2 linked regions of the Coturnix japonica genome follow. The protein of the gene in region 1 binds, or shares a complex with, the protein of each later gene. Links are inferred from orthologs where the notes say so. Each region holds a gene or a part of one and is shown in the gene's direction. Other genes may lie near its edges.

What was found. Proteins that work in one complex are often made in the same cells at the same time.
Region 2: SPATA5L1 (region 1) and CINP share a complex: the UniProt entries of both Homo sapiens proteins name them as parts of the 55LCC heterohexameric ATPase complex. The link is inferred for Coturnix japonica from reciprocal best matches to the Homo sapiens genes AFG2B and CINP.

The regions. Positions count from the first base shown.
Region 1 is NC_029525.1:9,451,013-9,455,848, forward strand, and holds the start of SPATA5L1 (spermatogenesis-associated protein 5-like protein 1), read left to right. Parts: upstream 1-1,336; 5' UTR 1,337-1,385; coding exon 1,386-2,450; intron 2,451-2,952; coding exon 2,953-3,138; intron 3,139-3,792; coding exon 3,793-3,951; intron 3,952-4,440; coding exon 4,441-4,650; intron 4,651-4,836. UniProt on the Homo sapiens protein: ATP-dependent chaperone part of the 55LCC heterohexameric ATPase complex which is chromatin-associated and promotes replisome proteostasis to maintain replication fork progression and genome stability.
Region 2 is NC_029520.1:45,118,533-45,123,708, reverse strand, and holds the start of CINP (cyclin-dependent kinase 2-interacting protein), read left to right. Parts: upstream 1-1,959; 5' UTR 1,960-2,077; coding exon 2,078-2,084; intron 2,085-2,217; coding exon 2,218-2,386; intron 2,387-3,208; coding exon 3,209-3,335; intron 3,336-4,285; coding exon 4,286-4,415; intron 4,416-4,932; coding exon 4,933-5,135; 3' UTR 5,136-5,176. Other genes in the region: TECPR2 (tectonin beta-propeller repeat-containing protein 2), read right to left, coding at 1,702-1,773. UniProt on the Homo sapiens protein: Component of the DNA replication complex, which interacts with two kinases, CDK2 and CDC7, thereby providing a functional and physical link between CDK2 and CDC7 during firing of the origins of replication.

The DNA.
Region 1 (4,836 bases):
ATTCCCATCCTTCTTTAGGAGTATCTTTACAATTTATCCATGAAGTTCTATTATAATGGAACGTGGTGTTTTAAATGTGCAATATCTGGCATAGGTACAATATAGCATTTACATTTTGCCAGAGAAGCTCCATGAAGTATGAAAGCAAACAATAAGGGAACACTCCTCCCCATAAATTAGCAGAAAGAAACTGAACATTAAAAGAAAAACAGGGAAATGAAGATGGAAATGATCTGAACACTCACTGTTCTGGATTTTCAGTGTGATATTTGAAACACAGCAAAGACAATGATGGGCAGCATTCGATTTCTCTAATTGCTGATGACTGCTCCCTTGGATCTGTTGGATCTGCAAGGAGAAACGAGTCATTCTTGAAGATCAGCTGCCATCTAGTGAATGTCGTGAAAATCGTGTTGGGTTTTGTTTTGCTTTTGGTCTTCTTGTTGATTTTGGGGGGTGACTGACAGTTTAAACTAGATTTTTGGTGGTAGATCTGTTTGTCAGGAGTGAATTTGGGGTGTGTAAAAGTTCTGGGAGCGATGGCTACTCAAAGGTACACATTCCAATCCAGGGCAGCCACTCAGCAGTGCATCCCATAAAAATTCTTAAATAAGGTTTTCATCCTACCAGAACAAAACAAAACAAGGCGATTTTTCACACTTTCAAAAAGCTGTATTAATGATTTCTGGGCTCTGCTTCCTTATAATGAGTTCCTATGAAGTATTTAGAACTAGCTGAGCTAACAACATTCAGATTGCCTCTTTTTGTTTGTACTGGTTACTGTTCTGTACTGGCTCACACAGGGCCATGGTAAAGGACACCGTCAGAAGGATTTCCTTATGCTTTTCTGCAGGAGCCTTCGGAACACACCTTGACAGCCCTGTCCTGCAGGGCATCCCTCCCTGCCCCGTGTGATCACAGTGTGTGGGGTCTCAATTGGAGTCTGTGCGTATTACTTTACTCACAATTAAGCTACTCGCTGGACTGAAATCACGCACACTGCAGATTTCACTGGCGATGATGCTTTTCTCTCTCAGCCCAGCAGGTTCGTACGCTACTGTGAAGGTAACGCCGGGCAGGGCTCTCGGGAAGGAGGCGGCTCCCAAGTGCTCCGTGGAGGCGGGGATGTGTGAGGGGAGGCGGGGAGGTGCGAGGGTTGGTTGTGGATGCCCCGTCCTTGGAGGTGCTCAAGGCCAGGTTGGACGGGGCCCTGGGCAACCTGATCTAGTAAAGGTGTATGTTTGGTGGCCCTGCCGGGCAGGGGGTTGGAACTACATGATCCTTGAGGTCCCTTCCAACCCGGGTCACTCTGTGACTCTGTGTGCTGGGAGGCGGGGCCGCGGCTGCGCCCTTCGTGGCGGTTGTTGGCGCGTGCTCGTGCCGCCATGGATCCCGTGTCCCTCAGGCTGCTCCCTCCGGACCCGAGGGATGAGGGCACGCAGCGGTGCCGGCTGGGCCCCGCCGCCCTCTCGTCCCTCGGGGTCGTGCTGGGCGCTCCGCTGCGGATCTCGCTGCCATCCGGGTGCTGTCTGTGCACCGCGTGGCCGCGGCCGGACCTGGCGGACGGGTACGTGCAGGCGGACCCGGCCTGTAGCACCGGGCTGACATTGGCAGCGCTGCGCGAGCTGTCGCTGAGCCCCGGCTGCTTCCAGCCGCTGTCCGCCCGCCGCCTGCGGGGAGCTGCGGTGCGTGTGGTGCTGCGGGGCGGGGCAGCCAGGCGGGCTGCGGGGCTGCAGGAGGCGGTGCGGGACCTGCTGAGCAACCTCTACGTCTCCCCTCACTACGTTGTTACCGTCGGCCCTAATGTCCGCACTCCCGTGGTGCACATAGAGATCCTGTCTGTAGAGCCCGCGACTGAGGAGGCCGGGCTGATAACCTCGCAGACAAATGTAACGATTAAAGAGGTGATGGCGTTAGAACGGTACAGGCTCTTAACGGAAGAGACAGCAAAAATTCCTGTGGCTGGGCTGGACGATGTGAGGGAGTCTCTGATAGAAATGGTGGACCTGCCGTTCCGCTTCCCAAGGACGTTTAACAAGTTGGGGCTTCCCGTCCCCAATGGGGTGCTGCTGGTGGGCCCTCCAGGCGTGGGGAAAACGCTCCTGGTGAAGGCGGTGGCGAGAGATGTGGGTGCGGATCTGCTGTGCATCAGCGGCCCGGCGCTGTGCGGCTCCAGGCCGGGGGAAAGCGAAGAGAATTTGCGACGTGTCTTTGAGAAGGGCAGGGAGATGTCCTGGGAAGGGCCCACGCTTCTGTTTATTGATGAGATCGACGCTTTGTGCCCAAAACGAGGGAGTTCCAACAGCGCTCCTGAGGATCGCCTTGTGGCTCAGCTGCTAACGCTGCTGGATGGTGTCGGTCGTAAGGACAGGATGGTCGTTGTGGCAGCGACAAACAGGCCTGACGCCTTGGATCCCGCACTGAGAAGACCAGGCAGGTTTGACAGAGAAGTAAGCAGACATTGCTGTCCGTGCTCAGTCCTCTTTTCTTCCTGTTTAAGGGAGGTGTCATGGGGCTGGTTAGTAAAGACAAGCCCGCAGTTCACATAGTCAACCTTGAAGATGCTTTTGCTCTTGGCTTGTGTTTTACAGAACGTGTTCAATTAAATAAACCTGTTATCTAATTCAGCCTTTGAGAACAATGAAATAATAACCTAATTGCTAAGTCAGATGTTTCTATTACCTTAAAACAGGATTCGATGGACAGTAACTCATAGTGTCTTATGAACAACTGATTATACAACTATTCACTTGGAAAGTAGGCATAAATTAAAGATGCTTTAAATATCTGTAATCTATTATTAAGCTTCTCCTAAATTCTTTGGTTGTAATGTAAGTATGTATAAATCCTTAGTAGTTGGTTTAAAGTGGAGACAAATTTGCGTGGCCAGGTTGACAAAATGACAGGAATATGGTGAAGTAACTATTGAAAATTTCATCTTCTTTGGATCAGGTTATTATTGGGACCCCGACGCTTACGCAGAGGAGATCCATCCTGCAGATGCTCACCTGTAGCATGCCCATTTCTGCAGACATTGATTTGGTTAAACTGGCAGAGATGACAACTGGGTACGTTGGAGCTGACCTTACAGCGCTCTGCAGAGAAGCTGCCATGCAGGCTGTGTTCCACAGCTCCTTGGTATGGTTGTAAATAAAGATGAAAGTCATGGTTATTATCTAACACCCTTTCTCCATTAGCACTTAGTTTTACTTGAAAATCTGAACAAGATGAGGAATTCAGAAGTTAAAGTGTTGTAAATGTAATTGAAAATAGTGAAATAATTTGAGCCTGGTATCCTGGGAAGACAGAGATGGGCAAATAAAAATAATCAACAAGTAGATGGGCTGTTTGCCACGAGAACTGCAAGCTCCTTGGTAAAGCATATCACAATACTTCTGTTATTGCATCTGTCATTTAAGATTGGAACTTGCAGTCTGCTTGAGGGTTATGAATGTTGGACCTTTTTGATTATTTAAAAGAATATGGGAATTCGTGTGTAGTAACCCTGAATTAGCATCTGTTTAACTTAGTTGGAGCTGTGATTTAGGGAGAAAAGTAATTTTCTGTCGAACACACAAGTCTGATAAAATTGTTCTTTCCTTATAAGATCTTGCCACAAAGAGTGTATATTCTGTCTTGTTACATCTTTGTGTATACACTGTTGGAGCTTGTTAGGGTGGGAAGTTTAGTGATTATGGCTGTCTTTGGCCTTTTGTGAAGCGTTTTATGTGCTAATAAAGCTTTATAATTTATGATGTGAAAATGTGGCTAATACACTGTGTTTTCCTTCAGGATTCAGCTGAAGTGCTGATTAACATGTCAGATTTCCAAGAAGCTTTTAAAAGAATTCAGCCATCCTCTTTTCGAAGTGCAATTGGACTCAAAGAATGTAAACCCGTCACTTGGGAGCAGATTGGTGGTCTTGAAGATGTGAAGTTGAAGTTAAAACAGGTAAGGTGTAAATGCGTTTAGGTCAAGAGAGTTTCTGATGGCCTGTTCTTCAAACTGTTCTGTGTGTTATGTTGCAGAAGTGCTTTATCATGCAAATTTTTAGTATTATTTTCTACTACATTAAATGACAAGCACTGTAATAATTTAGCATCTCAAGATAGGAGCAGCAAGCATAACACAATGAAATAATTATTCTGCTTCCCAGTAGCTGGTAAACCCTGCAGCAGTCCATTTCTGAATGTATAGCCAGAGGTGGCTCTTGCATATCATTCAACAATTGCCTTTTATTCTGTTTGAGACTGAGAGGGAAGCTCCAGAAGGGTGGCTTTGTGTTTTTTCTACCAAGGAAGACCAAATTAGCATTATGCGTTGCTTTCAAATTAATATATGCACTAAAGAGTTGGAGTATTGTGCTCCGCTGTTTTGTTGGTTGTCTTTGATCTTCAGTTCTGTCACCGAGAATTTCATCCCTTGTTTATGTGTTGACAGAGTGTGGAGTGGCCCATGAAATTTCCTCAGGCATTTGTGAGGATGGGCCTGTCTCGTCCAAAGGGTGTTCTTCTCTACGGGCCATCGGGCTGTGCCAAAACCACACTGGTGAAGGCTGTGGCCACAAGTTGTCACTGTTCCTTTCTCTCTGTAAGTGGTGCTGAACTGTTCTCACCTTATGTTGGAGATTCAGAGAAGATTTTATCTCAGGTACAGTTTCCAATTTGTATAAGGTGTAAAAATTCTTTTTGCTTGATTTTTTTTGTAAGTCAGGTCTGCATTTTTCTCTTGAAAAAATGGTAGTTAAAACTCTTATTTGATTAGGATTGATAACTAACTTAAGGTTTCCTGTATGTGTGGACAGGAAGTCTAGCCCTAACATGATGCCAGTTTTCA
Region 2 (5,176 bases), on another chromosome or scaffold:
TTTGCCTAGTTAGTATTTCTGTAAGGATAAAAATGGTATTTGTTTCACAGCTTCACACACTGCTTACAGTGTATCTCAACTAAATTAGAAATAACACTGCTGTGCTCGTTTAATGCCTCCATTACTGTGAAAAGCTCTGATGTCTCAGTTTTCAAGCTCTGTCTCTTACAGTGCAGGAAGATTCACCGTGCTGGCTCCGTGCCCTGCAACACTTGCTGTCAACACGCAATTCCACCAAATCCAAGGGATTACTTATGATGCATTGCCCATTCAAGCCCGCATTACAAGGCAGCAGGAATAAAGAGCTGTGCCTGGACTCCTGCGTTCTCAGTCACAAAAAGCCAAACCAACAGCCACTGAAAAAGCCAGCAACAATTATCAGATGTGGTAATTAATAACTGTGATAAGCTGCACTGCTTGATAGAAAATAATCCCACTCTGACACTGTTTACAACAGTCACAACACCTATTTCATAACATATCACATGGATTAGCAGATGAATGTGACCAAACTACTTCTCAGGCAAGAGTTCTTCATGGCACTGAGTTACAAACAACCTGAGCACATCACCACTCCTTTATATTTTCACACATCTCCTTCCTATCTGCATTTTAGAACTCCTTTCTCGTGGCATTTTCTACCTTCTATCCATACAGCCAACTAAACACCAACAACACCTACAGCTGAAGTCTCCTGCTTGCTCCCCTATCCACACTGCTTTGCTGGTTATGCAATTTTAATGCCTCCTGCTTGACTGTTATTCCTAACTGAAACCCAAACTTGGTGCAGAGTCCCCCCCACACAAAACTTCCTCTAACATAAACTGCCATAAACTCCCCAGTTACTGCTTCATGAGCTCCGTGTTTGTTTCTTTAACTCCTCTTTTCAGCTGATATCAGTCCCTCACCATACTAAGATGCTCTGGCACTTTGTGTAAACGCAATCATTTTCCTGCACGGTCTTCAATTTCTAATTACACTCACACATCACATATAGTCTTCTATTTATCATTAGGACCCTATTTAATCTTTGTTAACCAAAGGCGAGCAGAGGGCTGTCCCTGCAGACAGGTGTCAGCAGCCACTTGGAACAAGCACTAAGGATTGCAGGCAACACCTGATGCTGCCCATGGAACACCAGATCAGAGTCCTCCCTTTACAACTCGCAGACAGCACTTAGGAATCGTGTTAAATGAAGTATTTGGAAAGCAGAGCTGTTGCTGCAGAGCTGAACTCCTTGCAGAGGGCTCAGCACAGGGACGGCCAATGTGGGGGATAATCCTGTGCTCAGACAGACGCTCCGTTGGCTCCAGCTCCAGCGTATGTCACAGACTCAGCACAAGAGGCCAAAGCTGTCGCTGCTTTTCTTACCCAGGCATCCTCCCTGCACAGCTCTGTTGTTCAGCTCTTCCATGGGAATAAATCCTTACGTTCAGGCCCTTTGGAGAGGGACAAATTCTGACCTCGGCCACATCCTGCCAGCTACAAACGCTTTTTATTTCCCAACTCTTCTCACGTTTTCAGGTAGTTACCCCCAAATTAACGCACGAGCGGCTCCGAGCTACCCACGAAACGCTGCATTTTGGGCGTCTTTTCACAAAGCAGAGGGTAAAAACAAACAAACAAGAAAGAATTCCGACAGGGACTGCGGAAAGGCCGACCCAGGCTGCAGCCCACACACACACAGGTGCGAACTTTCACCTCCGAGCCCCGAGTTCCCTCAGCCCGGCATAGCGCCCACCGCATCCTCCTCCCCTGGAAACCAGCTTCCATCCGGCGCTCCTCCGCGTTCCTCCCCACAAGCAGCAGCAGGAGGCGGAGAAGCTTTCCCGGCCGCACCATCGCTGTCGGCCGCTCCACCGCGGCTACAGACCGCCGAGGACGGAGGCTGCACGGAGACGCGGCAGCTCTTACCGCGTCAAGAGCCGAGGGCGGTCATGGCTGCCGACGGACGGGAGAGAGAGGACGCAACAACACCCGGACCCCCACGCACCGGCGGCTGCCCCGCTGCCTCAGCGGCTCGGCGGGGCCGGGCCTGGGCGGGGCCGGACGTGAGCGCACTTCCGCGGGCGCCGCTATGGCGGGTGAGTGAGGAGCGGGCCGGTGCTGTAGGCAACGCCTGCATGGAGCCGGAGCGGGATGGCCGAGCCTTTATCTCAGCCACAATGACTTGTTTCTCTATGTTTTCACTGAACTTGCTGTTTTTGTCGTACATAGCAGGAAGTCTTGCTGATGGTACTCCGAGAAGACCTGTCCTATCTGCCAGTGCAAGAAAAATTAAAGATAATGCAGCAGACTGGCATAACTTGATGATGAAATGGGAGAGACTGAATGATAATGGGTTTACTACTGCAAACAAAATAGTCAACATGAAGATCAGTGAGCAGTAAGTACGCTAATAACATATACAAGTGAAGACAGCATGAGGATTGCCTTTCTGAGGAATTACTCTGTTCTCTTCACAATAACGATTTTTTGGAGTTTTATGTGGACAGAAGAAGCTATAGCAGTGATGATTTGGGAAAAAAAAAACAAAAACAACAAAACAAACCCAAAACAATAAAATAATTGTGGTAGAATAGTGTTATCATGCTGTGAAGAAAAACCTTACAACAGGCAGGGTTTTGAGAAGTAGCTTCTGAAGAGTCTGTCAGGTGAACAGAGTTTGTTTGACAGTTCTATCACATAAGGCTCGGGAATATTTTGCTGTGGAGGTGTCAGATGTTGCTTTCTCTCTCTAGCACCTCCCTCTTCTCTGTCAATGTTTACAGGAATGAAAGGCAAGAAGTGGGAGAATCAGCAAGACAAGACACATGCCTGCTCAGTAGCTGCTCTGGTTCATAGTTAAATCTTAGATCAAACTGACAGTGAAAGTGGCTGTGGGGAGGCATCAGGCCTGGCTGGGCCGGTTGAAGCCTGGCATACATTCCCCCTTGTCAGGGACAACGTAAAGTGGGAAAAGGTTTTATCTTAACGTTTGTGAGTGTTTTGGGTTTTTTATGAGCACAGACTGTAACATAGAGACACCCCACGTTCTTCTGAAGGTTACCAGCCTTTATTGCTGATATGGTTAGCTGCGTTCCTTTCTGGTTTTATGTAGGAATTCTCATGAGCAGCCTCTGAGAGATTCTGTGGGATCAGATCACACGGACTTTAAGTCTGCACAGCTTGAGTAAACCTGTATGCCTGCCTTATGTTTCTGTTTTAGATTTCAAGATAACAAACTGGAGATAACCTGTGATAACAGTACCACAGAATCTGAAAAGCCGTCTCCAAAGTACAACAAAGAACTGGACAATTGCTGCACAGAATTACTGGAGACCTTAAAAAAAATGGTAACATTCCTTTTTCAGTCCTAGAAGCAATATCAAGAGTTTTCAAGTACAACATAAGAACATGATGTTAAGGATCTGTTGCAAGCTTAAAATCAGGGATGTTCATTCATACTTCATTGCCTTTAGACCTTTATGATGTAAATCCAGCATGCTCCATTTGTTTGCTTTCTTGATAGGTTTGAAAGCTGTTTATATATATCTAGCTTCTGCTCATAATTCTACTCTCCACTTCTAATGTTACTTATAATGTGATCCTCTGAAAACAAGTCATATAATAATCCATTCTAAAAACGCACTCACTGATGTTTGTTTTCTTATCCCAAATATCCCCTGTTTAGAACAAAGTAAACACCAACTTAAAGTACAGTAATGCTTTATCTGCCATGATATCCATTGCAGCTTTGCTCAGCCCTCATGCAATTACACTTCCAGTCTGCCTACTTCTACTTTCTGTGCAGAGCTCATACTTTCTATGAGGAGCAGAGAAAGATAATTATTCTGCCCACTTTTCTGGATAAATTGTCAGGAATTAATGTCACATTTCAGCGACATTAGACTTTTACAGCCTTTAGCTGTTTCGGAGGATCATTAAAAAGATAATAGATAGGATTTTATACAGACAGGCTACCAGACCAGTATTTAGAATAAGCAGGAGCACTTAGATTTTCCTCAGATTGTGTTCTGTGGGAAAAAGCAAGAGTTATTTGGGTGCTTCCCTTTTTATGCAAAATCAGAATCAGTAATTATCTGCAGCACCTGAAATTTTAGGGTAAATCATTAATTCTCTATATAAGTTCCAGTTTTGAGTCCTATCTGGAGTTAAAAAAAAAAGTGAATTAGAAATGCTAAGACTAACTAAAGTCTTCAGAAAGTGTTTAAAAAATGCTGAAGACTATCATGGCTTAACATTCCCGAGGTACTCATTAGCTTTATGTGTTCATTGTTTCCAGACAAAAATACAGCTGAAAATGGAAAAGCTCTCTTCAACTACCAAAGGAGTCTGTGACTTGGAAGAGTACCACCATGGAGCTGGGGGTTGTACAGCACCCCTGTTTCACTCATGGCCCACAGTGTACTTCTGTAAGTAAATTATTGATCATTTTAGATAAATGCACTTTGTCGTTGAAGTCATCCAACTTAGGACTTTCATATCTGTTTTATATCTGTTTATCCTCCCTTAGGAAGAGAAAGTGTGTGAATCAGTCTTCTTTATAACTGACTGATCAATAAACACACGGGTGCATTACTTGGTTTAGGATTACTGCTGATGACTGCTTGTATGAATTGACAAGCATTGTCTGGCATGCAACAGCCAGACAGTAGCTTAGAACCGAGCTTGTCAGCAGTTTCCAATGCCCAAGCTGCAACAGCCACATCTTTTGTAGAGACAGACAATTTTGCAGTTTGGTAATGTTAAGCTGTTGGCTACAGTCTGACCTGTTACTTGATGCTGAAATGAAATCCTTGAATGCGAAGAATGAGATATTCCTCAGTTAATTCTGAGGCACACAAAGAAAAGTAGCTCTTATCACAGTGTCAGTCAAGATAAATAAAGAATGTTCAGTTTCTGTCTTTTGTTACTATCAATCCATTTCAGATGAGGTTTCTCTGAAGCTCTCTGAAATGTACAAGAAGGAACTACAACTCAAGCAAACAATTGTACAAGAAATTGCTCATTCTACTGACCAGGATCTGATGATGGTCTATTTATCATCGTGGTTATACCAGCCTTACCTTGACAACAGCAGCAAACTACTGCTTGAAGCCATGCTTCTGGAAACAGGGCACAGACAGTGCTAGAATTTCAAGTGTTGCTTGACTTGCTTCTAATGATGCTTACA